Linked DNA regions of Lonchura striata. The protein of the gene in region 3 interacts with the protein of the main gene of each other region in a biochemical or structural test. Links are inferred from orthologs where the notes say so. Each region holds a gene or a part of one and is shown on either strand. Other genes may lie near its edges.

Evidence for each region.
Region 1: the proteins of plasminogen (region 3) and THBS1 form a complex in vitro, tested with the Homo sapiens proteins (2 studies listed by BioGRID). The link is inferred for Lonchura striata from reciprocal best matches to the Homo sapiens genes PLG and THBS1.
Region 2: the proteins of plasminogen (region 3) and SERPINF2 form a complex in vitro, tested with the Homo sapiens proteins (2 studies listed by BioGRID, with this or other methods). The link is inferred for Lonchura striata from reciprocal best matches to the Homo sapiens genes PLG and SERPINF2.

The regions. Positions count from the first base shown.
Region 1 is NC_134608.1:32,090,770-32,100,112, reverse strand, and holds the start of THBS1 (thrombospondin-1), read right to left. Parts: upstream 4,225-9,343; 5' UTR 4,175-4,224; intron 4,013-4,174; 5' UTR 3,988-4,012; coding exon 3,918-3,987; intron 3,196-3,917; coding exon 2,618-3,195; intron 2,136-2,617; coding exon 2,060-2,135; intron 1,813-2,059; coding exon 1,616-1,812; intron 1,443-1,615; coding exon 1,317-1,442; intron 1-1,316. UniProt on the Homo sapiens protein: Adhesive glycoprotein that mediates cell-to-cell and cell-to-matrix interactions.
Region 2 is NC_134622.1:6,968,181-6,978,183, forward strand, and holds the start of SERPINF2 (alpha-2-antiplasmin), read left to right. Parts: upstream 1-5,420; 5' UTR 5,421-5,498; intron 5,499-5,971; exon of another isoform or gene 5,972-6,085; intron 6,086-6,505; 5' UTR 6,506-6,509; coding exon 6,510-6,563; intron 6,564-7,180; coding exon 7,181-7,237; intron 7,238-8,151; coding exon 8,152-8,566; intron 8,567-8,838; coding exon 8,839-8,982; intron 8,983-9,146; coding exon 9,147-9,350; intron 9,351-10,003. Other genes in the region: WDR81 (WD repeat-containing protein 81), read left to right, coding at 32-197, 489-1,187, 1,343-1,488, 1,665-1,844, 2,719-3,045.
Region 3 is NC_134605.1:58,090,512-58,100,607, reverse strand, and holds the start of plasminogen, read left to right. Parts: upstream 1-5,882; 5' UTR 5,883-5,963; coding exon 5,964-6,012; intron 6,013-9,192; coding exon 9,193-9,328; intron 9,329-10,096. UniProt on the Homo sapiens protein: Plasmin dissolves the fibrin of blood clots and acts as a proteolytic factor in a variety of other processes including embryonic development, tissue remodeling, tumor invasion, and inflammation. In ovulation, weakens the walls of the Graafian follicle.

The DNA.
Region 1 (9,343 bases), on a different chromosome or scaffold from region 3:
GTCAAAAGCAGAAATATTTTGGTTCTGCAGAAGTTTATCGGTAGTACTAGCATATGCTGGCTCAAGTAAATGACTATTATGTGATACCCAAAGTACAAGGTCAGATTTCAAAGAAATGAAATAAGAATGAAAAGCCAATTTTCTCTTCAGTTAATATGGATTTAAGCTGATTATATGGTAAAGAAAAAATGAGTTTAGTGGACTCTGCTCAAGTGCCATGCAATCTCTAACTTATAATTAGAGGTTTTTCATCTCTAAGCCAAACACGCAGGGTAAGAACACCCACCCCCAATCTCAATAAGAGTTAAAGGGCAGTCTGTAGTTTTGCTTCTTGAAGGTAGCACCTTGGTCAGAAGAATGCTCTCATGATTACTATTTTAATCTCCCCAAGCAAATTATTAGATTAAGGCAATTACAGCTAACATTGAGTAAACAGATTGCTAGGAACGAGGCAAATGCAAAAGTCACAATACCATGTGCTGACTACAAGACAAAAGACAGAGAGCTAAAGAAGCAGACACAGAATTTGAGTTGCCTTGTATTGCACATATACAAATACCTGACTTTTAGTTTCTAAAGAGTGGCATGCTAATTAACCCACTTTTTGTAGACTGGTACCCCAAAATGCTTTTGCTAAGGTATACTTAAATGGAACAAGCAAATAAGTTAAAGAAACCCTGAAACTGTACATTTTGTATGTATTTACAGCATTCAGCAGAAGTGAAACACAAAGCTTCAATATCTTGCCAGGTGATTCAGGGATATTAAACAACTGAAATCCAAAAGGGATCATTGTTCCATATAATCTATAAAAGCTAATAGGACACACCTAGAAGCATTTTCTAGATAAAGAAAACATCATAAGTCTCTTTACCAAGTAATTTTTGACCAAATGTCATTTTCTACTAAGTCAGCAAGAGGTTTAGTGAGGACAGAAGGCAAACCTAGAAAAGCTGATAGTACTATACATTTGTTGTGTTGATACTGACTTAGTTTACTGATGGACTTATGTAAAGAATACAGGCATTCCCCAAATTAATGAACTAAAACTGTTAATGGCTGTATCAGAGTGATACATATAATTTCAGTGTTTCATATAATTTTCTAGAATATTGCTGTTTGGACAAGGTAGGGAACCTGCCTTTATATCAGAGATCTAGTAGAATGAAATAAACTGAGTAATTCTATGGCTTCTCTAGTATGCCTAGTTCTGTATATGATTCACTCTTTCTAACAAACATTGCCGTTTAGAACTATCTATTAATTCCACCTTATGAGTTTATATTCAGGTGATTTGTGAATGTGAGGAATCTTACCTGGCAAGTACATTCAGTGCAGCTGTCAATAGTCCACTCCTCTTTATTTTTGTGCAAGACTCCATTATGAATGCATGCTCCAGGAGTGATCTGGACTACTTTGGCAATGATTTCATTTTCTTCAGTCTTGAGGGCAAGAAGCAAAAAGAAGATATTTAGGATTAATACAGAAATACCCTTTTTCACAAAAGTCAAAGTAAAAATATTTTGCTGTTTACATAGCCTCTCAAAAGCAAGGTTATAATTAATTCACTAAGTGCTAGTTAATGAAAGGTACCATGAAGTTGACCACCACTTACCACTTTTCGAACTCTGTCTTGAAGTGTTGTAACCATGGACCGTAGCCCTTGCAGTTCCACAAACATATTTGTTAGTTCATCACAGGAAAATCCACAGACTGCTTGGATGTCCTTTGTTTTATGGCCAATGTAATTAGTGCGGATAGCTGGGCTGGAACCATTGATGGGGTTGTCCAAAGTAATGACTGCACTAGTGGCTAAGAGAAAAAAACAGAGGTGAAGTAAATGCATTTTATATGACATGCATTTATCATTCCAGGCTAACACCTGCTAAACAGCTGCCACTAGATTCATTAGGGTGCCTGCAGAAATATAATCTTATTTCTTATGCAATGTGGATTTGCATGTCAGCATACTTCTGAGTTCTGTTTCAACTTGTCTTTCTAAAGTAATGAGAAATCTTATTTTTAATAGGTCATTGGACTCAGAAGATTGTAAACTTACAACTGGAGCAGCCTTTGTTCCGCAGGATAGTTTCCAGAGTTGTTCCAAACACAAACCGCACATTCTGCAGCAGACCCTGTGGACAGAGAAAGAATTACAACTACTTGCAGCAACTGCAAGGGGAAGAACCACTTGCACTTGGACAGACTGAAGGTCATGCAAGATCTTACAGAGCAATTTCATGACAGACAGATGGAAAAGTGAAATACATTGCTCTATTCTCCTTAATGAAAACCAGCCCTGCTTCCTAACGGTCTTATCCTTGAGCATAAGGACTTGGCAACTCTCCAGGCAGGAAGGAAAATACCCATGGATTTCTGAATCTCATATAAGAAGCTAAGCAATGAAGCTACAACTACCTGTCTGGAAACTTCAGTGCCTTCTCATTGCTGCAGGAAGTTCCATCCCCACAAATCTAATGCTTCACCCTTCAAATTCCATTAGTAAAGTTTAGGAGATTTAGACGTCTTTGCTGCTATGTAGGCTTGTTGAGTAGCTAATGCACCTTCAAAACAGATGACTGAAAATTCTAGGCAAAATCATAAGTGAAAGTCTTACCTGGAAGTTGTCATTGACTCCCCCTTTGGCAATATGGAGCCTGGCACTGCTGGCTAGGTCCCTAGTGAAGATGTTCTGGATGGGGATGTCCAGTTCAGCGTTTTCCATTTTCTCACACCCCACATAGAGCTGAGCTCGGTCCTCCTGCACAAACAGGGTGATATTCTTCCAATGTCCTGTAGCTAGCAAGACATCCTCTACTGACACTAACTGCTGCTTGCCGTCAACAGAAAGGCTCAGGTCCAGGGAGCCTGCCTTGCCATTTGATACTAGACTGAAGACATGACCAGAGCCATCATTCTTTTCCACAGACAGCAGTGTGCCTCTGCTCTTCTTGGCTTGTCGGAGAGTGGCCAGGAGAATGAAGCCCTTCTCAGCATGGATGGCATCTAATAAGTCTTGGAACTTTGTGTCAGGGACAGCAGGGATGCGACTGGCATCTTCAATGCGGTAAGCAGGGCTGGAGGATTCTGGCCCCTTCACCAGGTACACCCCGGGGGCCCGGCGCCCCGCTCCTTTCCGCATGAAGCCAATGAGCTCAAAGAGATCGAAGACGCTATTATCATCATTCCTGGATTCTGCAGAGAGAGATCAGGATAAGCATCATGAGAAAAGGACAAGAGGCTGAGTAGGTGCAAGTTTCCCAGGATTACTTAACGTTTTGGCTCCTGGCGCACATCGTGCAGGGCACAGTGCCTCACATCAGAGCACAGACAGTTAGGTCTGATGGTGCAGCAGTCCCACCAGGAGCTGCTGTGCAGCAGTACATGTGCATTCTTGTACGGGAGCCAGTCAGCACAGGAGTGCCAGGTACCCGCTGACTGACACACAAAGGTAGCAGCCATTCTGGCACCTCATTACACTCCAGCAGCACAGAAATAGACAGCAAAACCCAATCTGCATTATTCCTATGCTGGGACATGGCAAAGTGAGTTTGCACAATCCAGGCTGAGTGACAGCAGCACAGCAGCAGCTTCTCTATAGCACCAAAACGGCAGCCTAGTACCTCATTCCTTCTTCAGGCAGTTCCTACATCATGTTCCTCCTTTCTTCTGCTCAGCGCAGAGGTAGACAAGCTACATGCTCAAATTCTGGAGACTCTGCGTTCCTACTTCTGAAGGTTACACAAATTCCACACCAGAGAGAAGTTTTCTGTTCCCAGCTAGCTCATGCTCAGGTTAAAACGTTTTTGTTCATTGAGAGCTTTGGAGCTCTTTACCACCGAGCACAACTTCATCTGCCTACACAGGCACCAAAGTTATTTCTTCTTGCCCCGGTACCAGCGCAGAGCCGGCCTTACCTGCAGTGCGCTTGGTCTCTGAGCCGCCGAGCACGAGGAGAAGGAGGCAGAGAGCAGTCGCTGGCCCCATGGCAAAGGTCTGTCTCTGAACCAGCCTGGGGACACACACGAGGAAGGTCACCGCGCTGCCGTCGCACCCACGACCGGCGCCGGCGAGGCTCCCGCAGGCGGGACGTTGCGCAGCGGGGACGGGGCAGGTGTCCCCGGCCCCCCTCGGACGGGACAGCGAGAGCGGCGGGAGCCGCTTCGGCACTTACCTCCGGCAAGAGCGATCCGGGCGGTCCGCGCCGGCCTCTGGGTACCGGCGAGCAATATCCGCGGGCAGCCCCGACCGTCCCGGCGCGGGAGGGCGAGCGGCGGGCAGCGGTAGCGGCGCTGCCGGGACTCTGCGGGCGCCGGCCGCCGCGCCCGGCTATAAAGGGATGGCTCGCATTCCTGGGCGCACGGCGGGCCAATCGGCGGCGGCGGGGCAGGAAGCGGGAGGCGGGAGCCGGGCGGCTCCGGGGCCAGGGACAACTTTCCGCAGGGGCCGGGGGGCGGGGGCGGGCGCGCCCCGCGGGCCGGGGGAGCCGCTGCGCCCGGCCGCGCCGCGAGGGGGCGCTGGGCCCCCGGGGCCTCCCGCGCTGCCCGCGGCCCCGCGCGCCGCCCGGCTCCCGGCGCCTTCCCCGCCGGCAGCGGGACCCGCCCGGGCCCGCGGGGCCCGCGCTCCCTCCGCCGGCCGGAGCCCGCCTGGCCCCGCGCCCGCCGCCCGCCGCGCCCGCCGCCCGCCCGGCGTCCCGGCCCCGCTCTCCGGCCGCGCGCACCGCAGCGAGGGCGCGGGGGGCACGTCCCCTGGAGGAGCGGTGCGCCCAGACGCCGCTGCCGCCGGCTGTGCCGAGGCGCTACTGAAAGCATCCTCCACTGAATGTTCACTTAGTGAGACTTTCTCTGCCTGCCCGCTGGTTCCAACACACAGCGCTCAGGACACTGGGTTCACAAAAGGGGAATAAGGGCAATTCTCACTAGCCCGTCTTGCCCGGCCTTGGTGGAGCCGGTTCCCGTGGGGGCAGAGAGGACAGAGGCCGGCAGGCTGGAGCAGTAGGACCTGCTGTCTCCTTTCCACATCTCCTTGTCACTGGAGAAATGTTCGTGGGGATGACCCTCAAACAAATTTGCCTTAGGAATGAAATTACTATCGTTGTAGTGCAGCTGAGACTCTCCCATAGCAGATTTGTTTAATTAATAAAATGACTAACACTACTTCAGCTAAGAATTTCCCGTGTAATATGAATTCCAGGTAACAGGAAATCTAAAGGTTAAAAGGTAGGTTCCTTGCATAATTTCATATTCTGAATGACTAAAAGTGACTTGGGCGTGTGAAACAGCTTTGAGGTAATCAAATTCCAAAAATGGTTAATTCCTCTGCATTCCCTGGCCTTTGTGTGCTTGGCATGTGCTCCCGTGGGAAGTGGAGTGTCAGTGAACGAGAAAGACCTAGTCAGGCAATTGCGTGTGTGGCGAGGGAAAACTGGAGTGAGCAGTGACTGAGTTGGACTCTGAACTGTGTAAAATGCATCAGACAGTTGTGCTGGCTAATGTATGAGGAGGAATTACTGCACTACAGATTATCCTAGGAAATGCTCTGGGAAATTCTTGACCCAAGGAATGAGAGACAGCTGCAGAATTGTGTATATTAGGGCAAAGCCAAATCTATTGTCTGCCTTTTTAACTTAGAAGATAGAGTATACCATCTGAAGTAGGTCTTTTTACTGTACAGTGATTCACAGAAGAAAAACCTCAACCATCTCAAGATAAAGAACTGAGAGAGAAGAGAAATTATGGTGATGATGAGAGCCATGTCAGTAAAAAAACCCCTAAAAGATCAGCAAGAGAGAGAGCATGCAAGATAGATACATGGACTGCTCCAACCTGGACAGGTTTAACATTTTATGCTAGTTGAGATAATTTTTCTCCCTTCTTGCAGTCAGTATTCTCAGCATAAAACTGAAGAGCATAGTGAATGCAGTATCATATCACAGAGTATTTTGCTTCTGTAAGTATAATGGTACAAAAAAGAACAGCTTAACTGTTAACTGTTTGCTGGATAAGGAATTGGTGGATGGTCACATCCAGTGGGTGGTGGCTGGGGGCTCAGAGTCCTGATAGACATGAGTCCTTCAGGGGTCGGTTCTGGGACCAGTTCTATTTAATGTCTTTCTCAGGTACATAGATGGAAGATCATCCAGTTTGCAGATGACACCAAGCTGAGTGGTGGAGTTGACACACCTGAAGAATAGAACACCATCCATGTGGACCGGGACAAGCTCAGGAACCAGTTGATGGAAATCTCATGAGGTTAAACAAGGCCAAGTACAGGGTACTGCACCCAGGTCAGGCAACTCCCAGTACCAACACAGGCTGGGGATGAACAGGTCAGGAGCAGCCCTGCCCAGAGGGACTTGGGGGTGCTGTGGGTAGAGGCTGGACATGACCCAGCCATGGGCACTCCCAGCCCAGAGAGCCAAACGTGTCCTGGGCTGCATCCAAAGCCCCGTGGGCAGCAGGGCCAGGGAGGGGATTCTGCCCCTCTGCTCTGCTCTGCTGAGAGCCCACCTGCAGGGCTGCACCAGCTCTGGGGGGCCAGCACAGGAAGGACATGGAGCTAGTCCAGAGGAAGCCACCAAGTTGAGTAGAGGGATGGAGCACCTCTCCCACAAGGAAAGGCTTAAAGAATTGGGATTGTTCAGCCTGTAGAAGGCTCTGGATTGACTTTATTGTGGCCTTTCACTACCTGAAGGGAGCCTACAAGAGAGCTGGAGAGGAACTTTTTACAAGGGCGTGTAGGGGTGGGAAAAAGGGTAATGCCTTTGCACTGAAAGAGAGTAGATGAGATACTAGGATGAAATTCTTTATTCCATCTCTATAAGGCCAGGCTCAATGGGGCTCTGACATGAGGGCCTGCCCCCCCCACTTTATGGCTATTGTAAAAAATTAACCCTGTCCCGGCTTGAATCTAGGACAGTGACTAAAGTCAGATGAGAAGGATCGCACAATTTATGACTTTCTGTGGGCTATCCTCTGTTGACATTTATTGTCCTGACAGTAAGGAAGCTAATGATTGCCTACCAAGGGCGGGTAGACACCTGTTGGAGGAGTGTGGATTTCAATGCAGGGCATAACCCTTCCACTCTTGGGTGGAATTCAGGACATTGCTGTTTTGCATATCTGTGCCATGTCTGTGAAAGAATCATTCTACATTCATTCAACAGTTATTCTAGTCTAGTCTAATTTGGAGTAAAAAAATACTTTGGTGCATATATTCTTGAATACCTTGCTTGTTGGTGTTCTTTTATTTTGCAGGAATATTCTGTGTGCTAATTACAGCTGTAGTCTGCCTGCATACACAAGGCTGATTGGGTATCTTTTTGTTTTTGAAGATCTTCCATCAAAATCAGACCTTCTCCCATACCAAAAAAAGTGTGGGAAATTGCAGAGTCTGATTAATGGTTAGCTAATTCATTGAGCTGAGCCCTTACACCTTAAAAAATAGAAATGTTTTAATTTCTTCTAAATTGTAGTGGGTGTACAGCACATTTGTTTATTAGGAGTCAGATTTTGGGGTTTGCAAAATGTACTACAATTTAAAGAGAAGAATATACTTTAAAGGGATTAACTAAGTGATAAAATTTTCTGGCAGGGTTGCATATACTTTTGTACCAATGTAATGCCAGTAGCATATTTTTCACCAGAAAAATAATTTAATTTTAAATAATTTAATTTAATTAATTTGTAATTTTTAAGGCTTTTTTTTCCTAGAATGAGAAAGCATTTATTTTAAAGAAATATTTAGAATTTGCATCATGAGCCAAAAAATACCCCCAAACTCTATTCCTGAAATTAAAACCAAGTTGGTTTCTTTTGTCTGTGAAGGAAAAAGAGGAAAAAGAGGGAGACCCTAGTATTCTCTATCACAAGACTTTTTCATGTATTTCCTTTGTAAGCAGCAGATGAAAAGTAACAGTAGATACAGGCATCTAGTCTCTGCCTCAGTGAAGTATTTCTAGTCAGTGAATCATTAGAATATGTATTCAAATTCAAGCACATGGTAGAGTTTCCTTGGTTTTCATTAGAATTCTTGTGGACATACTTGTGGACATGCGTTTTAGATGTTTTATTCAGCAGAGGTGACCATAAGTACATGTTTGTACATTTATATACTGGGACCTTTGAGCCTCTAAAGTGAAAGAAAGCTGTTCATTTACATCCGTTAGCAATCTGTGTCCCAGTGTGTTTTTGTGAGTTGTAAACAGGCAGCTGCAGAGCTTTTACTCCTCACACATAATCACAGATAAAGTGAAAAATAGATTTAACTTTTGTTCACCTCTCAGAGCATCTCTTGTCTCCATTAATTTCATATTACACAATCAGGCAGGACTGATTATGCACAAGACAGAACATACACATTTTGCCACAACATGAAACCTCACTTGAGCAAAATACCATATCATGTACAAATCTTTATCCTCTTCTTTCCTTCTTTTAATTAGGCAGAAGCAATCAATTATTTCCAGATCCAGTAGAACACTCTTAAAAATGCTGTTAATTACTTAATATTGCATAATATCTTCCAATCATCAGGAAAAAAGGCATTGAAAGATCTGTGCAATACATAGCTGGGTGTTGCTGGTAGTCATGTGGTAGAAAAAACAAATAACTTGTATATTAAAAAAGGACTGTTCTGTCATTACACAACTTGAAAGATATGTGTTTAAAATAACTAAGAGAATTGATGAATAAACAGTAATGTGCTCATGAGAGGGAAGATTAACTTTGTGCTAGGAAGTGGTGTGCCTGGAGTTTCTTAAAGGCCAGTTGCTTAAAATGGAATGTCTAGAAGGGACAGAGAAATATAAAATAAAAAACCTGGTTGGTAATTTCCAATGTCCTCTCTGTGTTATTGCAATATGTGTAGCTCTGCTTTTTTTCTATTTGCACAAAAACTATTAGTGCAGTCTATCTATATTACAGTCTGTGTTATGAACTTGGTCTAGAGTTAACAAGATTAGACAAAGGATGAATTTCACAACTGAGCAGTAAAAGAAAGAATTTAGTCATTCCCTTATTCTGCACGAGCTTCTGTGCAGTTTGATGCAGCAGCACATTAGGAAGTACACAGACTGTAAGAGATTCCATTTCATGTTGAAGAAGAAGACTGAATAACAAAGTTGCCTGGTATAGTTATTTTCAGACTTTTATTACAAACAATGCCTTAGGGGCAGGGAAGTAAGATGTCTTGCCAAGAGATTATTTTGAGCAAATAAAATGATCTATGAAATTTATGACTAAGAATCCTTGACACGCCCCAGCTGAAACTCCCAAGCAGTCTGCTACTTAGTGGAACTGCAAGCCACATAATGTATATACATGAGGTGAAAAGTGCATAGAAA
Region 2 (10,003 bases), on a different chromosome or scaffold from region 3:
GGGTTTATCTGACCTTGCTTTTCTTGTCCAGGGGTTGACAGCAGAGTCGCTGAGCAGCTGTGAGATGCCAGTGATGGAGGTGCCCCTTTCAGATGGGAAGCTGCTGGCCCTGGATCCATCTGTGCTGGTGGAGTTACAGAAGGTGTTCAACCCCGAGATGGCCTACATCACCTACATCCCCTTCTCCTGTTTGCTGGGTATGCCTTGGCCACCAGCTCCAGGGGTCTGTGAGGGAGCTCTGTGATGTGGGCATGCTGTGCTGGGTCTGAACTCCAGGGCAATCACTGCTCACAGGGCTGCTGGGGGAAACCCACAGCTTCTAAAGCATGGCTTGGGCTGATTCTTGGGTTGGGAGCCCACTGGACTTCAGGCTGGGAGCAGATGTCGCCGACTTGGGGGATGCTGTGCCCACATCCCTGTGTATGGAGGGGGATGATGACGATGGGGACATTGCTTCCCTTGCAGCCGCATTGTCTGTGTCTCCTCAGGTGACGTTATCCGCACGGTTGTGCCCAACCACTCTCTGGTTGAGAAGCTGGCCAGCCTCCACCTGGAGAACGTGAATCCCCAGAACCTGCAGGCCGTCGGCCTGGAACAAACACCGAGTGTGGTGGGCTCAGACCAAGACCCTCGAGGAGCTGAACCCTTCTCCAACCCTCAGGAGGACACTCACTCTGGCACTTTTGGCAGTGTCCTGGTGGGGAACCGCATCCAGGTGCCCGTGGACACGCAGCGGGAGGGTCTTGGCTTGCTCCGCCTCAGCGCTGGCACCGATGGATTCGCTCCCAGCTCGTGCAGCGAGGAGAGCGCCCTGAAGCGCGACCTGCCCCGCAGCACCCACATGCTGTGTGGGAACTGGCTGGCCTACTGGCAGTACGAGATCGGGGTGAGCCAGCACGACCCCCGCTTCCACTTCCACCAGATCAAGCTGCAGAGTTTCTCAGGGCATTCCGGGGCCATCAAGTGCGTGGCGCCGCTGGGCAGCGAGGATTTCTTCCTGAGTGGCAGCAAGGACAAGACGGTGCGGCTTTGGCCGCTGTACAATTACGGGGATGGCACCAGCGAGGTGCCACCGCGCTTCACCTACGCCGAGCACAAGAAGTCTGTGTTCTACGTGAGCCAGCTGGAGGCACCGCAGCACGTGGTGAGCTGTGATGGCACCGTGCACATCTGGGACCAGTTCACAGGTAAGAAGGGAAAGGGTGAGGAACTGGAATGAACTGGTCCAGCCCTTACAGGCAGGGGTTGCGCTGAGTTTGGATGGCTCCTGTTAAAAACCAGCACGGAAGCAGAGATTTGCTGTGTGACTTGTCCTGCCATAATATCTGTCATCCTTTCACAGGCAAACTTCTGCGGACTTTTGATGAGTTAGACAGCAAAGTCCCCATCACAGCTGTGACCACCATGCCACCTCCCTATCACAGCATCTCTGTGGCCAGTGCAGACTCTGTGCTGAGGTTCATCGACCACAGGAAGCCGGGACTACAGGTAGGGATGCGGTGCTGTGACTCGCCTTCCTCCAGCCCTGTGCTTAATGATGGGATCACAGCTGGCCCAAAGCCCAGATCCCAAAGCCGGCTGTGATGGCTCCACAGAAACCAGCTTGTCCCTTAAATGCCAGCTCCCCTGAGCTTCACCCCCCAGCTGGAGTGTCTCTGTTGCAGCACGAGTTCCGCCTGGCCAGTGGCGTGAGCGCGGGGCTCATCCGCTGCCTGGCCGTGAGTCCGAGCGGCCGCAGCGTCGTGGCCGGCTTCTCCTCCGGCTTCATCGTGCTGCTGGACACCAGGACGGGGCTCATCATGCGGGGCTGGCCTGCCCACGAGGGAGACATCCTGCAGATCAAGGTGAGAGGCTCAGCTGGGATCAGGCTGGGGCCTCATTGATGCTCTGAGGCTGTGTGGAGCAATCTTCCTTCAGGGTTTGTATGCTGCATCCCTTGCAGTGTCCCCAAGAGGCTGCTCAAGCTCTCCTGCCCCATGGTTAGTGCTGCTGCCAGCTGTTCTTGGTCCAACTCCTGCTGCCAGAGTTCAGCCCTGTTGGGTTTCAATGCTTGCCAGGCAGGTCTGCAGCAGGGGCAGGGAGGAGTCATGGCTTCTGTGAAGGAGCAAATGTGTTGCTTTCTCCACGGGGCTCTGGGCTTCCCTGCGTGAGGGTTGCTCTAATGAGTAACTCTTGTCCATATTTACCCACCCCAGGGAGCAGTGTTGGGTCTCCAGTGTCCTCGACCCAAATGTGGGTTAAACAAAGTTCAGCAGTGTGGGTTGTTTACCCTCTCACTAGCTCTGCTAATAAGCAGCTCCAGGCTTCTCCTACCCTCAGCAGTATTTTCAACTGTGAGAGAGCCTCCCAGTTCCTTCCTCTGAGAAGGAAAATAGTTTGGCAGGTGATTTAGTGGAGAGGGAGACTGCATGGTAATCCCTGTACCCACTGCAGTAGTAACAGATGATGAATGAGTTGTGTTGGGTGTCAGGGTATTTTTGAGATGAGGCCCAGCCCATCTCTTGGAAGAGATTGCCAGCTACCAGAGCATCCTTTACCTTGCAGTGTCTACCCAAGGCTTTGCTCAGTACCATCAACTGCTTGGAAATAGCTCAGACTGTCCTGAGGGATTGCACTGTGACCATTGGATCACTGGCAGCCACCTGCTGCTCTCATGTGCAGCACCAGATTGTGAGTTTTTACAGAAGTGTCTGTTCACTGGCCTTTCCTCTCCTGCAGGCTGCAGAGGGCAACGTGCTGATCAGCTCCTCCTCAGATCATTCCCTGACTGTCTGGAAGGAGCTGGAGCAGAAACCTTTGCACCACTACAAATCTGCCTCTGAGCCCATCCACGCGTTCGACCTCTACGGTAACGAAGTGGTCACCGGCACCGTGGCCAACAAGATCGGGGTCTACTCCATGCTGGAGTCCTCAGCCCTGCCCACCAGCACGACCAAACTGAGCTCAGAGAACTTTCGGGGTACATTGACCAGCCTGGCAGTGCTGCCCACAAAGTGCCACCTCCTGCTGGGCTCGGACAACGGCATCATCCGGCTCCTGGCGTAGTGACCCCCGGCCTGGCAGCCTGTGGCTGTCCTGCAGTGCTGTGCTGGAGCTGGAAGCCAGCAGCGTGGCTTTTGGAGGAGGCAGAGGCAGATGTTTCTGAGCAGAGGATGCAGGGGGAGCTGTACTTGTTATGTCTCTAAGCTCTTTCTGTATCTTGAAAAAGCAAAAAAAAAAAAAAAGAAAAAGCCATAACTGAGAAACCTCCGCTGCTGCTGGGAGAGATATTGGGCGTTGTAGGTCACTGTCACCCCTGCAGAGAGGCCTGGAGCTTTCCTTACCATGTGTGCCTGATCCCCAGGGGACTGTGAGCTGCCCTTCACAGTAATAGGGACCACAGGTACCCTCCCCTCTTCAGTTAAGGGGTAAGAGGTGCCCCTTGACAAAACACAACAGTTTAGCTACTGCCACCTGCACTTCCCCTTCCCTTCCTCTCCTGAACCACTGAACAGCCCCACTGGGAGGGCAGAAGCTGGGCCTGGGAACTGCTGCCTTTGGAGCTGCATCTCCTCCTCCCGTGGCTGGTGCTCAGAGCCCAGAGGAGGTGCTCTGTGAACTTCAGGTTCTGCCAGCTGACTTCGAGCCTGCATGGGAGGAGGAGAGGCTCACCAGAGCCCTTCTGCTGCCGTGCTGGCTGCAGGGCAAGGACTGGAATGGAAGCCAGCAAAGGCACAAACCCCATCTGCCCTGCCAGTTCTGTGAGAGTGGGCTGCTGCAGAGGGGCAGACTGGGCTGGGAATGTGACTCTCTAAGGATGCCAGAACTAGATGCTTCCATTGGGATTTTGGCTTCTGGAGCAGTGGGGTAGGGCTGTTGGTTCCTACCCCAGCATCCCATGATCATATAAGGGGTGAGGAATGCCACGTGTGCTGTGCACCGGCAATTGATCCTCAATAAATCCTTCTAATCCTCTCCTTCATGCTGGTCAGGCTCCTGGGGAAGACAGGACAGCAAAAAGGTGCTCAGCGTTGTGCCCTCCTGCCCTTGTAGGGCGAGAGGCAGGAGGCAAGAATCCAGCATGGTCTCTCCTCGATTTTTCCTTTGGGACAGCACTGTCTGTTCCCACCCCAAAGGCACAGAGGGTGCTCTTTGCCCCACCAGTAGAAGCAGTTTCCTCCCTTCTATGTCAGCCCTTTTCCCACTCATCCTTCAGCCTAGCCAGAGCCAGTATCAGGGGAGTGGGAAGCTCTTACCTTGGGGCAGAGGAGGAGCCTGCTGTGGGTTGTCCTGGAAGAGGAAAGGGCTTCCATCCAGCTGCCACCTGCAGGGAGCTGGGGAGGTGAGTGTTTGGCCAGTGCTGTCCTTCCCTACCCAAGGGGAGCTCTCAGTCCCGTGTTGCCTATTAAACATTTGCAATAGATGTAAATATTTACTTCTAATATACTCTTTGAAAGAACTGCAGAGCTCTGTGTGTGTGTGTGTAAGCTCTGTGCTGGAGGGGCTGGGTGTGCTGGCTGCAGCTCTCCTGGTGCTCAGCCAAAGTGACACCTTCTCCTTCAGGCTCCTCTTGTGTTCTGGGGGAGCCCTGCATGTAGAACAGGATTCTGCTGCACAGGATTTGCTTTCCAAGGGGAAGTAGCTCCCAAATGTGGTTGGAGAGCTCAGATCTGTCTGGGGTGAGCTTGGGAACTGAGAGTTCCTGTGAGGAATGGATGAGTGGAAGATGCTGTTGGGGCTCAGTGACTCCTCTCCCACTGAGGACACGGGCAGAGGCAGGAAGGATCCACCATCACTTCTGCATACAGCACAAATCCACCCAGGGCAGCTCTGCTGGAGTTCTGCCCGTCCCCAAGGCTTTTCCTGCGTGCCCCAGCAGTGTGTGCATGCCCTGGGCACTGGGACCAGCTGCCCTGGGAGAGCTCTGGAGCGTGCTGTGCCCCAGGGGAGGGAGCAGCAGCTCTTGGCTCAGCCCAGCCTGGCCATCAGAGCCTGCCCTGGGCACCTGCCCTCTGTTAAACCAGTGCCTCACACTGGGTGCAGAGCTGGGACTCCAGGAGGGAAGAGCTGGGGGTTTCAGCAAAGAAAATTCCCAAACCAGAGAACCCTGTGGCAATAAACACCGAGCCCTGCATTTTCACTGAAGTTTATGAATAAAAGAGAATATTGCTAGCAGTGCATGAGGAGTGCATGCAGAGTGGAGCCACTTGCAAATTACTTCTGCCTGGGGGGGGGAATTTTGGATCTGGTAAACTCGGTGTTAAGGTTGTCTTGAAGGTACAGCAGCCCAAAAGTGTATCCCCATCTCCAAATGCACCACAAATTCATTCTTCTCCCCCAGACAAATGTTTACCCGGATGCTGTGGGTCAATATTTGCCTGCCAAATTCTCAAACAGGGGGTGGTGCCGAAGGTTGCTGCTGGGAGGGGGGGCTGGACAAGAGCTGTGTGTGCCCCATGCAGAGCTGCTGGGCAGGCTAAAGCAGGTGCCAGCTCCAACGTGGACGTGAACAACCTCAGGTAAGGGACAAACCAAAGGATTTGATAGAAATGAGAGTTCCTGCAACGGCCCTCTGGGAGAAAGGGGTGAATTTGGCAGAGGGTTAAAGGATGGGCAGCAGCAGGGAATAAAAGGGATATTTGGGAGTTCTATGTGACTGCAGGATTTGGGGTGAAGGAAGGGGAAGAGTGAACTGGCCTCAAGTTATCTTCTTCTCAGCCCAGCAGTTCTGGGTGAAGTAAGGAAACCTGGGGAGTGGAAAGCAGCCCCAGGAATTAAATGTGGACACCATGCAGAGGGCAGGGCTTTGGCATGGAGGCTTTATGAAAAGGAGAAGGTATTTTATTTCTGTCTGAAAGGGAAAAGTAGCTGGGTGAAGCGTTGGCCAGGGAATGGGTGGGGTTTTGCCCATGACCCTGGAAGCCCTGTCCCACACTGGAACTGGAGCACGGAGGGGGGAGAGGCGGGGTTTGCCAGCAAAGGGGGAAGATGAGTGCTGGGAAGGGGAGGACTGCCTCTTCCAGGACATAGTGCTGGGAAACTGCTCTGGCATTTCACTTTTTACGTGCAAATTCCCTCCCAGAAAGCACTTGCTGAGCACCTGCAGGTCAGTAGCCCTTCTCCCAAGAGCCTGGGGCACAGCTGAGGATGCTGTGCCTGTATCCCAGTGGTTTCCATGGGAAAGGAGCAGAAAGGCTCTTTTCTCCTTCCAGAGGCACAGTGTGTGCAGCACTGATTAGGGAAATACCATTTGCAATGCAGAGAAACCAGGGCAGCAGGGTCAGACAGGCAGGATCCGAGCTGCAGCTCCACTGTGGGCCCCTGCTCCTCTCTGATTTCCCTGCCTTGGCACCAGACCCAGGAGCTCTGTGTTGTTTCTTTGCAGCATTGTTCATCTCCCTATTGCTTTCCATGAGCTCCTGTGCCAACCTGTTTGGCCAGGTTGATAATTTTCTCCCTGTAGACCTGAATAGGCTGAGCTCACAGCTGGAAATAACTCCTCTCTCGGCTGGTCCTTCTGTTCCAGGAAAATGGGGTTCCTCTGGGGGCTGCTCTGCCTGGCTGCTCTGTACAGCCTCCCAAGGGTAAGTTGCTACTCCAGCAAAGAGCAAGGGAAGGGTGGTGGCTCCCTGAGCCAGACCATGGGGCAAATACCACCCAGAGAAGCCCTGGAAGGCAAAGAGGTTGAGGATACTGCTGGGGGCTTCACCAGCAAGGTTTCTGATCTTCTACCCAGCTAAAATAGTTGTGGATGTTCTTATTATTCACATTTCTGTAGAAGCTTTTGTTTCGGAACTTGACCTCAACTGTATTTGGTGACCATGACCTTCAGGAGTAAACAGGAGCTTTTTGAAAAGCAGGTTTTTCCTCCCCCCCCCCCCACTTTTAAATCTGGATCCCTGTCAGAACTGAGATTGCAAAACCCCACTGCTCACTCTCAAAAGGATCCATTATTTTGTGCCAGGCTGGCCTGACCCCTTTCTAAACAAATCCAGTGTTTGCAGTGTCTCCCAGCTGCTCCTCACTTCCACCTCCCCGTGTCAGACCTCGCCATCCCTGGGTCTGCATCCCAAAATCCTGCCTGTGCTGTTGCCTTGTGGGGACTGCTACAGCCAGGACTGCAGTGGGAGCAGGGAATTCACACTCTGGAAATTCAGAGAGACCTGACTTTGTTTCTTTGTTGATTTTCCCACCCCCACAGCTGGCACATGCCATTGACCAGCAGCATCTCTTCCTGGACAAAGATGGGAAGCTGAGGGTAAGCACTGACAGGTTTCACCCAAGGGGGCTGAAGTGAGGCTGTGGATTTGCAGTTTTTCCTGAGAAGGGATGAGCCCAGGCAGTGCCAGTGCCATGAGAAAGTCCATCTTTCTGCAGGCTTTACTCCCAGCTGCTGCCAACACTGTGCTCCTTCAGGCTGGGAGCTCCACCCTAAATAACTGAGCAGAGCCTGGAGTTACCATCAGTACTGGTGTGTACAGGGGCTGGCAGGTGGATGATTTAATTTCTGATTGCTAAGGAAAGGTGAGGGAAACCACCAGCTGTGATGGTGACAGGGAGAAAGACCCGTAGCTGATCCAACCCATTGAGCCTGGGATGTTTCAGATCATGCAAATGTGAGGAGAGTAGTGGCAGTGCTAAAGGCTAAAGCTTAGAAGAGTGGAAAATGAGGAAATTTGGAAAGAAGAGGGATGGAATAGAACACACAGGTCAAGAAAACACAGATGCCTGAAGGAGGAATTGAGCCAAACTGGATCAGGGCTGTGACAGCAGCAGAAGGGTCTGACCTTCTGTGTGAGTGTGAGTCAGGTGGGCACTGCTAAAATATGTGAGGGGAGGAAATGAAATCAAGGCTGAGGATGATGGATCTGTAAATGCTGAAGGCACAGGATATGTGCTGAGCTGGTGGTAGGTCTTGCCCTCAAGCTTTCCTAAGAGCTGAGTGGAGGAGGAACCACTGCCAGACCCTCACTGGGTCCATTTTCAGAGGATACAAGACCTATTTTCCATAGCCATTCCCTCAAATCATTATTCTCAGGGTTAAAGAGAAACTGAAGCAAAACCAGCACCAGAGCAGAGGATTCCAGCTCTGCCCATTTAGGTGTGCAATGAAAGCCCATGAGGGTGTCACTGTGCTCTTGCTTTCCCAGTGTTATCCTTGTTTCTCCCCAGGATGTGAAAAGTGCTGGAATTGCACAAAAGTCGGATTTGCTGGGAGCCATCCCAACCCTGCCAGAAGGAAAGATAGTAGAATTTAGTTATGACAGCTTCCAGGAGAACGATGGACCCATGTCAGCATTCCCCACCACCCACATGAGGGATGACTGGAACTCACAAGAAGAAGCTGTAGCTGGGGTTGGGAATTGTCGTGGAAAGAAATCACCTGGGAAAAATGCCTCTTCTGAAGAGGAAGGAGAGGCTGGAGATAAAAGCTGTGAGATGACTTGGAAGAAGAGCCAGAGGCTGGCAGATGGCATGATGAGATTCAGCATTGATCTCCTGAGAGAGGTGCAGCTGGAGTCCAAGAGAAGCAACGTGATCCTGTCCCCGCTCAGCATCGCCCTCGCCTTGTCTCACCTGGCTCTGGGTAATTCTGAGTGGCCAAACCACCACTCTCTGCCCTTCCCCATTTCCTCTCTCAGAGCCACGAGCAACCAGATGCAAATGAAATACAGTCCCTTCCACTTATCCTTGCTCCTGCAGCTTTAATTAGGCATGATTACAATTGAAGCTGCCCTCTGAGGCTCCGACTCTCAGATTTCTCCAGCCTCTTTTGTGAGGCACAGCGTGTTTCTAACAGAGTAACATCCCTGTTTTCCGCTCCACGGGCATGAGACCTAACAGAAATTTGATTTTTAGGAGCAGCAAATCAGACAGAGAAGCATTTGCTGGAGGTGATGCACCTGGAGGCAGTGCCCTGCCTCCACCACATGCTGGGCACCCTTCGCAGGAGGCTCACAGAGTCCACCCTCAGCCTCGGGTCACGTCTGTACCTGCAGAAAGGTGAGAGGTGGCCCAGGGGGGCTGGACTGGTGTAGGACAAACCTCCCAGTCACAGAGAGAGTGATGGCAGCACCCTGGAGACATCCATTTCCCCTATTTCCTCCTCTTGGGGAATGTCATACCATGCTGAGCAAATCTGTTTCATCATTCCTCCCCTTTGCCAGGGTTTGAGGTGAAAAAGAAGTTCCTGGAAGATTCAGAGAAATTCTATGGAGCAAAGCCCAAGACCCTTTCTGGGATCAATCAGGATGACCTCACGGCCATAAACAACTGGATAAAGGAAGCCACTCGTGGGCACATTCCCTCCTTCCTCCAGCAGCTCCCTGAAAACACAGTGATGCTCCTGCTCAATGCCATCTATTTCCACGGTGAGCTCCATAGGCCTTCCTTATTTTTTTCAAGAGGAAATAGTTAGAACTCCAGTTTTCTGCAAGCCCTGTAGCTGCACAGCCTCTCTTCTCCTCGCTTCCTGCTAGGCAATCTGCTTGTTCTTGTGCATCTGCTGTTCCTCTTGCTTAGGTTTCTTTGCAGTAATGATTCCCAACTGCTTCACATGTGCTAAAAATGTTACTTGACAGCAGAGCCAGGACACAGCAGGTGGGACCTGCAGTATCGTTGCCTCCTGGTTCAGGATCCCAGGCAATGGCACATCCCTGCTCATCCACTCAGTGATCTTAAAGGTCTTTTCTAACCTAAATGATGAGCCAGGTCGTTTGCAGCTCTGCACACCCACCACAGAGCTCAGAGGCAGCTTCTGTGGATTTCTCTTTGACTACAGCACAGTGGTCGGCCACATCTTCCTTTTTTAATTCCCTGAGGGCTGTGCAGAGACCAAACACTTCCAGTGTAAATCTACAAATGTTTTACCTTGGTGTTGGAGCAGTGTTTCCCTCTCTGCAGCACAGAGGCAATACTCCCCATTTTTCAAAGCACAAACATAGTCTCTTTTATCTCCATAGCCTTCAGTAGTCTCCCACACTGAGGCATAAGGATTAATCCATGTTCTTTTTGTTATTCCATA
Region 3 (10,096 bases):
ATCCTTGGCACACAGGTACTGTCCTTCTCATTTCATCTGTCTGGGTCTGCTTTGGTGATCTGTATGTCCTTATTCTGTCACATTTTCAAATGTAGTTCCACTAGATTTCTTTGTTTTCCTGTATCTTAACCCTGTAGACAACTAACTGCAACACTTCAGAGCTTTCTGAGTGCTAGAAAAGCTTTTTTTTTTCAAGAAGGTACCTTAAAAAAATATCAGAAGACTAATGGATACTCTGCAACTAGGGAAGGTCTTGTGGAGTTTGAAAAACAAGCTTGGAAAAATTTATTAAGATAATCCAGTTGGTGACAGCAGCTGTTTAAATTTTTACCCCACTTTCATCCACCTTCCACCCCACTGTTTGTGATGATTCATATTTCTGCATTTTCTATGCCAAAAATAGAACATGTTATGCTACAGTCTTTGGGACACACAGCACATGTAAATGGCATATCTTTCAGTAGTTTGCTTTGAATTAAAATATAACAGGAGCAAATAATAAAGCTGATCAGCAAATTTCCATTATTTCTAATACAAAATTTCAACTTGGGAGTTTACATAGGAGTCAGAAAAAAAGAACCAATCAATTTTTCTAATGTTGTCTTCAGCAAATGCAGGCAGTGGAAAATAATGACAAGGTCTTTTTGCATAGGAACATAAAAATCATTAAAGAATAGAGGAATTTTATACAAAATCTATTAAGCTAGAACTTGTATTAACATTTTTATTAACTGGTTGTAAACAAAGATGTTATAGTAGGTTATATTCACACACATAAATACACTCACACATATGCATGCCCACACACACACATGCAATTTGTAAAATATTAAACTAAAACTGAAGGTAATATTCTCACCTTGCTGACATATTGTTGAAAATCTCTGTGTCTCAAGTGTCTTGAACTGATCCTGTTCCAAACAGCCCTGAATGGAGCACTAACATCATTTTTTGCCGTACCCTTTTAACACTTACTTTAAATAAGATTAAATTGGTTCGAACATCCTTCCTTTATGCAAGTTAATGACCTAAGAATAAGCATGGAAATAAACCTATATGTAAGTGACAAGCAGAAAATGCACTTGGAAATTTCATTATACACTTTGTGTGGAAATTGGAGGTGGCTTGTCCCTCTTTTCTGAAACTGTCAGAAAAGTAAAGAACTATAAACATTCATCTTATTTCAGTGATGTTTCTAGACAGCTGATTTCATCACTAACTGGAATCATCAGTTAGCAAAACACTGCAGCATTGATCATTGTATAAAACTGCCCAAGTGTGTAGAAAAAGACCAGAATAGCACCTTGAAAATAGTAGGTATTTGCAGGGGTCTTTGGAAGCGCTTGAACAACTGTTGGGTAAAATGCAAAATTTCTCCACACAGTCTGTTGTCTGCTTTTCTAACCAGAAATGGAATGATAGTTATGCTTCTTTTCTTCATTTTCTCTTCCACATTCTGCTGCCAAATTGTCCTTACCCTCATCCAAGGATTCCCCAGTGACTCTAAACATTTTGAGCAGAGTGGTGAAAGAGTTAAGTTGCACCATTAGGTGTCAGAGGAAGGACTGATAAGAGTTCAACAACCCTCCCTCTGCATGGGCTCCAGAGCACAGCTCACAGCTGAGTCCTGTGACTTGGAACAGCAGGGACAGGAACTGCTTGCCTGCTAATCACAAGGAACTGCAGCAATGACCCGGTGTGCCCCAGTCTTTGAGGAGCCTGAATACAAAAGGATTCTCACTTTCTTACAGACTGTCCCAAGAAGAGCAGAACTAAAAAGAAAATCAGACATATGTATTGCATTTCAGGCCCTATTACGTGCTGCTTCTCTGTTTGTGTTTTGCAGCTCCACGTGTAAAGAGTGGGTAGCACTCTTTAGGCAGGGTGGTGACAGCAGTACAGCAGGAGAATAACAAAATCAAGGAAGGACAAGTTTGGGTGCAGGACATGTGCTCCCCCTGACAGAAACATGTAGCAGGCTACAGCAGATCACCATAGCATTTTTGCTGAACCACTTTCCAAAGCAGTGCTAGTGCTGGATGTTATGGGCTGGGATAATCAAGCAGGACTCAAAGCTGCACAATCCCTCTGCTGTCCGTAATTCTTTAGCTTAGCTGTGGTTTCTCTGATGTTCTCTGTCTAGGAAATGAAGAATGATTTTACTCTCTTGTCTAGCAGCAGTATGATGCAGTTGTCCCTCACGTGCAAAGACTTAGAGCACACTGTGTGCTAAGTTCTGGCTGTTAGATTCTCTATGGCTTTAATGCTCTGCACACCTCTGTTGAAGGTAAATGCACAGTCCCTGTATTTCCAGATACTTTTTCAGCAATACAGAAATTGTACTAATTAATTTTTTAGATCTTTCTGCTATAAAGGTGACACTCGGCTCACTTCTTGCTTCTCATTTGTCTGACTTTATTCTTCTGGTTTCTTACGTTTGGCAGCAGCCAGAACAAATTAATGTTTTAGAGACAGAAGCTTTCACTAGTGGAGAAACATCTTCTCTGTATCTCCTTGTTGTCATTTTCCTTACCTTAGATCCATTAGCATCTGTGGCCAGAAATGAGTTTATCTACCAGATGTTCTACCCTCTGTGTTCTTTCATGGGCAGAGCAAGTACAGAATTTATTTTTAACTTGGCTACCTTTCCTCCTCTAGAACCCCTCCCTACCTTACGTTCAGCAGCACCTGCTGTTAGAAGCCATCCACATTATCCATCTGGGGTTGCTGCCCGAAGACCCCTCTGGCTCTGTGGATCTGGGCTATATAAGTCTTACTTTTGTTACTTTTTCTGTTGGCATTTGAAAAGAAAGTAGAAGTACCTTCCTTATTTCCCAGCTGCTCATGGCTCTATGCCATGGCTTTACTATTTGGAGCAATTACATGAACTCCTTTACTTCATGTTCATCCCAGTCTTGTGGATGTGCAGTACCTTAGAGATGCCTTTTGAAATTTTCCCTTCCTTTGAAGATATTTAAAGATAATGAAATTTTTCCTTTGATTCTTTCCTCCTAGCAAGTAAGTGATATCTCAGTGTCTGTTTTCTGACGTTTCCTGATTTTGAAATCTAGAGAATTTATGTTTAAGGGAATTTATTTTTTAAAAATGTGCTCTGTGTTCTGACATTTTTTGCAATTACTTTTGGGGGGTATTTTTCTGAACTTACAGTAAACCCAATTTCAAGGGTCAACTTCTATTTAAAAAGCCTCCTACTGTTTATATTTTAACCATTGTGCTAACCAGTGTACCCTGACTCTGAAATAAGATCTGATAAACTTCCACCTATGGGTGATCCTCACAGTGATCAAATAAATGAGAACAAACACCACAAGATTAGAACTGGAGAGAGATTTAGATACTGTGTGAATCTATGAGGGGAAAGAGGAAAGAAGGAAAGACACAAAAGGATAAATCAGCAGTTTACAAGGATCCTGTCAAACATAATGCCTTGACAAGTCACATCCTTGTCACAAGACAACAGTGAGGAATGCCAGTGTGGCAGATAAAAGACACCTCTGTTTTGTCATTTTCTTGTGCAAAACATACAGAATGGCTGTTTTTGTACCAGGAGCAATTGCTAACAGTATCCTCAAGTCCAGTTTTCCAGGATCAGATTAATTTAGACAGAGATTAATAAGATTTCTTCAAATCTGCATTGAATGAAATGGCAATGAGTGTTCTTTGCTTTCTTCAGAGCACTCACACCAATGTAGGTCCATTTTAATCAGACTTGAGACAATGAGATTGAGAGAAGAATCAGAGCCAAGCCTAGAACTGGCAACAGCTAGGCATATTGTGAAGGAGTATATATAGACTTTTAACATGAGGAAAGATTGCAAAAGAGTTTGCTGACCTGATGCATGGAGATTTTCCCAAACTCTCCTAGACTTGTGGTAACAAACCTTTGGGTACCACATTTAGCTTCTTTGGTTTTGAAAACCAGTAGGAAAATCTAATCTGATTTAAATCTCTAACACATTGTGTTTATTGATGAGTTTTACAAACTCAGTTAAGACTCACAGCCTTTCAAACCTCTCCATGCAGCAGAAACAAATGCACTTACCCACTTACACAGTTTCTTTTCTTAGACTTTTACCACCAGATGTGCACCATAGCACAGTAACCCACTGACTACCTCAGTGGAAATGGGAAATACAGGAAAATGGGGAAGGTATCAAAGATGCTGGAGAGGGCAGGGCTCAGCAGAAAAGCAATTTTGCACTGGAGTAAGGAAAAGACCAACTGTGTCATAATATCTGATGGGAAGGAAGCAGAGATTGGTGAGCAGATGCTGTTTGTAGCCAGGGAGTCAGGGGTTATAGAGCAGGAGAGAGGCAAACCAGGATCTGGATCTAGAATTGAAAATGAGGTTGATCGTTAAAAATGTGGAGTTAAACCAGGCTTGAATACCTCTCAAAAGCCTACTAGCTAGTAAAGCCTACTTGGTGTTCTGCTCCTTTGTTTTACCCTTCTTTCCCAATGAGTAACTGGTCCTAATACATGATAAGCCTGATCCCACATGTGATTGCATTATATCCAACCCATTCTCCCTGACACCGTTCAAATGTTTCCCTGAGCTGAGTCCAGCTCCAATCAGCTCCTCTCCTTGGCCCATCTGCTTTGTTTCCCTGGACTAACATCAGTGATATCCCAAGCCTCTACAGATATCCCATGCTTTGCTGTTGTTCACAAGTTGCATTAAACAGATTCAAGCACAGAAAACAACCAAATAGCATGGTATTATACTATCCAACCAGAGAAAAACTGTATAGGACCACAAGCAGAATCAGCTTTAAATTTTTCACATAATCAGTAAAATATAAGTTAGTCTGGTTCTCATGCTCATGCCTCTCTCACATATTTACCCCTGCACTCCAAGCTTTATTCCAAGCCCTCAATACAGTGTAACTTTTACTTAAAGCAGGCAGGATGATGCAGAAGTGGACAGCCTCATTAGTTTTTAGAAGCAATTCATAATTCTGCAAACTTTCGGCCTCCAGTTGCAGAAGATTTAATTGCATGATCCAGCAGTGTGCATTCAAGTCTGTTCTCCCCATCCAATATTCATCCTGCTCCTTCCTCTGGTGAGTCACTAGCACATTTGATTCAGTAAGTTGTTTGGAAGCAACAGCAGAGAGTTAACATGCAAGAGAAGCCATGAAATGGTGCTGCAGTGCAACTTTTCCAAGGTAAAGACTGCTTAGGAAATGCAGAGTGAGCTGATGTTGAAATCAGGATAACACACAGATGAACAAAGTCTGACACCCTCACTGGATAAGTTTGTGCATGCAGTGTGAAGTTAAATGTCTGGTAAGGAAGAGCACTACATTGCTATCTATGATTCTTAAACCTAATGTTTGAGGTTTAGAGTGTCCTCTTAAATCTGAAGTTTAAATGAAATTAAGTCCTACTCCCAAATAGAAGAAGAAAAAGGAAAACTCTAAGGCAAGGAGACAGCAGAAACTGAATCTTTAATAAAGAAGTAAAATTAAACTATTTTACAGAGTTAATATCTGAATCTTATAAACATGCTTACCATGAGATTAAATAGAAGTTGTTCCTTATTAATCAATACAGGTATGCGTGGCTGAATTTACTATTGGGACTCTAATATCAAGAGAAATTCAGATACTGCCTGGACACATGATTTCTAGCAATATTATTCCTGTCTTTTCTCTAGTAGAGAAAGACCTAACCATTTGAGAACAAACCATATCCTGCAAAACAAGAGAGTGCCTTTGCATTTAATAGCATCCACTAGGAATGATTGAATCTGATTTGGTAATCCATCCAATTCAAGGTTGTTTGAACAGCCACACCACGGCAAGGGGGGAGCAGCATGGGAGAATGATTAACTTAATCCTCCTGCCTTGTTTGTTTGATGCTGCCTCACTCCAGTGCAAGTCAATAAAACTTTGAGCACTGGCACACACAACTTCCAGCACTCTCCAAGCTGGCCCAAAATGGGGATTAGCAAAGCTGCCTTTCTCCTTCTGTTCCTTCTCAGCTCAGGTAAGAATCTTTTGCTTTCTGCTTGCCTAGGTGAGACTGGGGCCAGACACTTGCAAGCTCTATGTGATGAAGGTAGGTCCCCAAATCTCTGTGTCACAACTCCCCTGGACAATGATGGATTTGGGGCTTGCTGGGCAGCAAGAGCTGCTGCAGAATAGAGTGAGAGCTGTCATTGCTCCTGAGTTATGTTCAGTAGAACATTGCTCCTGAGTTATGTTCACCAGAAAAGGAGCAGCCTTGGTGTCTGCATGGGCAGTTAATGGCTCCCAGCAAACGTTTCCCATGGCCAGAGACAGGGGCACCCCTGGGAAGCAGCCTGCCAAAGGCATGGCTCCCTCTGGTTTCAGCAGCCTTTAATCTGAGGTTTGGGGATTTTTTTCATATGTTATTTCCAATTACTGTGATCCTTATTCTGATTGCTTTAAAGTTTTGTTAATACTTGTGCAAAACAGAATCATACAGGAAAGGAAAGCTTGTACACACTGCAATTTCAGTCTTTTTCATAACCACATTCTTAACTGTGAATTTTTCATTCCATGTGATAGGAAGACCAAATCTGATCACTGTTACTTTCTGGAATATTTTTGGTACAGAAACATGTGTTTGTGGAAGATGCTACAAAAATTTTGGGATACGCAAGATCTGAATTGGGCTTTTTAGTTATGTTTACATGGGTTTCATACATACAGATTCTCTGTCCTGAAAACCTTAAACTCCAGTGAATTGTGAGATTCAGACCACACAGCTTCTTGCAGGCATCTATATAACCACACAGTATGTTGTTATTGTAGTAAAAAATACAGTTATAAGTGTACTAATGCATATATAAAGATACAGTAAATTAAACATGTGCAATACAATACAACAAATTTTACATGTGCAGTTTTAAAACATAAGAAAAAGTAACAGTTAGGAAAATATATGGGTATATTTTAGCTGGAAATATTAGAGACGTGCCCCAATGTAAAAAAACATCTGTTATTTAATGTTAAGAATTTTTATCTTGGTTTAAATTCTAGTTTCTAAGCTTTGTTTTCGCAAAAGAATAGCCTCTGTAATACTTTCCTCAATTAAGTAGGAATTTTATATGAGGGAGAAAAAGATACAATTTGGGCTTTTATCTGAAATACTATACTCTTGTTTGCAAATCCTTTATCAAATGGTAGCAAATATTTGCATTTTTGAATAAGATAGTAATACATCTTTCTGTGTCTGTAAAACATCATAGACATAGGGAAAATGGTAGCATGAAAATTTAATGCTTTTTTATTGTTTGCATATTTTCCTTTCTATTTTCCCCACAATAATGCCCTGCCATGTAAATACAACAGAAAAGGGGAGAAATAGTTTTATGACTGAAATAAATTATGAACCTGTCAATATTTCTAAAATCAAATGTTGTATTAATAATGACAATATTGTTGCAAAATGTCAAAACAGGACAGAATTAAGTTTGCATGGAAACTGTACCATAGTAGGAATTGTTTTTTTTTTCTTTTCTTTGTGGTGAGCATTGCAGCATCTCTATGATATTGTCTTAACCTAGTTTAATGTTTTGTCTCAAAACTCATTTCTTCTCAATGTTTTTGTTTTGAAATAACTAGTGGAAATGTCATTGGACTCTTTTTCACTTATTCTTTTGTTTTCCAGCAGCTATCATTTTCTTCCATGCATACTGTTAAAGTAACTGCCAACCCTTAGGGACAAACTCTTCCCTAGTCTAAATGCAGAAAAACCCTTGCAGTAACTTCTGTGCTTTTGCAATTGTATGTGAGGAAGTATAACTTGGCTTTTATCCGTATTTTACCAGCTTCAACTTGTAGATGCAAAATGATCTTTAAGAAAATACCCAATTTCAGGCTGAGCTATCTCTCAAGTGAAGGAATTTAATAACAGGACACGTGAGCCTGCTGAAGAGTGTTACTGAAGAGTGTTACTCAGGAAAGGGAGGGGCTGTTGCCTTTCTCAGGTCGAAAGACATCACTAAACAACTCAGTGGAGCCCCTGCTCACAGGCATGGGTCTGAGTGGGACATGGAGTGTTTTTGTCCCTCCTGCTGGCATTGGGCCATGGCTGAGACAGACAGGGGTCAGAGAAAGTGAAGAAGTTCCTCTCTGCAGCATGGCTGTTATTCCTAAGATTCCAGTCATGGTCTGGTTCATCCCCTGTCTGCCTTTTATTCAGCAATTGTGTAAGGCCAGGCACAAAAGCTGACTGAGATGTCCTGCAGTGACCAGGGGCCAGGGTGTCTGTTTGGGGTTGAAACACTACAGAACAGATAACTCCCAGGGCCAAATGTTCATCAGAAGAGTCATATGCTCCACTGATAAAGAAACTGTAAAAATCACAGGACTCGTGCAACTCCATGACCCTGCAGCTGGAAGTCATGAAAATCACTGTGCTATGCACTAATTCTGGGATTGCAGAGCTGTAACAGAAAAATACTAAATGCCAAAGTCCTTTACAAGGAGGAGTGTTCTGGAACACTTTTTGAGTTTACCATTAAAAATAGCTGTACTTTTTAGATTCCTATATATTTGACATGCAGCTGTAAACCAGAGGTTGTTAGGTGGATTTACTTACCTCTTTAATGTCTTATTTTAATTCATTGCAATGGAAGGCAACAACTGCTGTCTTGATTATTAAGTAAGTTCAGTACAGGGTTATTACAAACTGAACAACTGACAACCCCAGTGACTGAGGGTGGTTTGATTTTTTTAAGAGTAGGAGCCTTTGAAAGGAGGTGACTGATAAATCTCAAGTCATTCCATGTGGATGGATGGACAGCAATGAACAAACATTGTTTCACGTCTTTCTTGAGCACCATTTCTCTGCTTTGTCCAAAGTATGCATGGCCAATATTTACTTTCTGAAACACCTCAAATATTTTTTGCTCCTTGGCTCATCTTCTGTGCCCCCATTACCTTATCCTATAGGTTTGTGTTATCACTGTTCAAGCCATTTCTCTGTCCTGCCTTACCCTGGGTTTTCAGTGATGCTACTTTTTGCCATACCAGGAAAGCATTATATATTACCCATATTTTGTCACAATTAACCCAATTATTCCAGTAATTAAATGATGATGTCATATGACTAGGCGACAAAGAATTTAACATGGGAGTTTAAAATAAAGCAAATCATCATTCCCATTTTCATTCTTTTCTCTCTTTTTCCTCTAAGTGCAAGGAAGCATCCTAGACCACTATGTGAGAACAGAGGGAGCTTGGTTGCTCAACCCCATGAAACAAGTTTATAGAGCAAATAGTGATGAAGAATGTGCAGAGAAATGTGAAAGTGAAGAAAAGTTTCCTTGCAGGTAATTTCCACTGGTTCCCACATGTCTTTCATTGCAGGTGATGGAAAAATATGCCTTTTTTTATCCACAATCTGAACTTTCAAGGGTTTCCTTATGACTATGTGGGGGTTTGAGGTTTGCTGGGAAAACAAAAATGTGCAGAAACAGAATTCTTGTACTGCATATAGATGGACATGAAGATGAAGATGAAGATAGAAAAAATAGACAAATTAAGAAAGTTATGTTGAATTTTTATTGAAAAATGTTACGATGCACAGCTTGATGCACAGCTTGACATGCTGCAAACCAACGTGACATGATTTTATCAAGACTCTTGCACTCCTTCTGCAACAAGAAGTCATAATTAATTTCTTGGAAATCTAGGACAGCAATAATAGCATTGCTTATTTTCATTGCATTCATTATATTGCAGATAAATCAATTATTCAGAATTTTACTAGAATTTGGACTTAGGTAACTTCTATTTACTTTGAAAAAGAGACCTGAACCTTAATGACCTGAACCTTCTTTCAGCCAAGTCCTCTCCCTGCACTTGCATTACCCAGGCTCAAGGGGCTGGAAAGCATGAAGGGTGTTGATGACCCTGTATTGTTGGTCTTTGCTCAGCCTTCTGCCCCACTGGATCCTGCTGCTCTGAGCCTAAGGCTTCTGGATCTCCTGTGCCAAAGCCTTGCAGCCCATTGAGCTCCAGCAGTGCAGCAGGAAACTGAGCTCTTTTGAGGCAGTGAGATGTCCATTACTGCGGTGGGAGGCAGTCCACACACACAG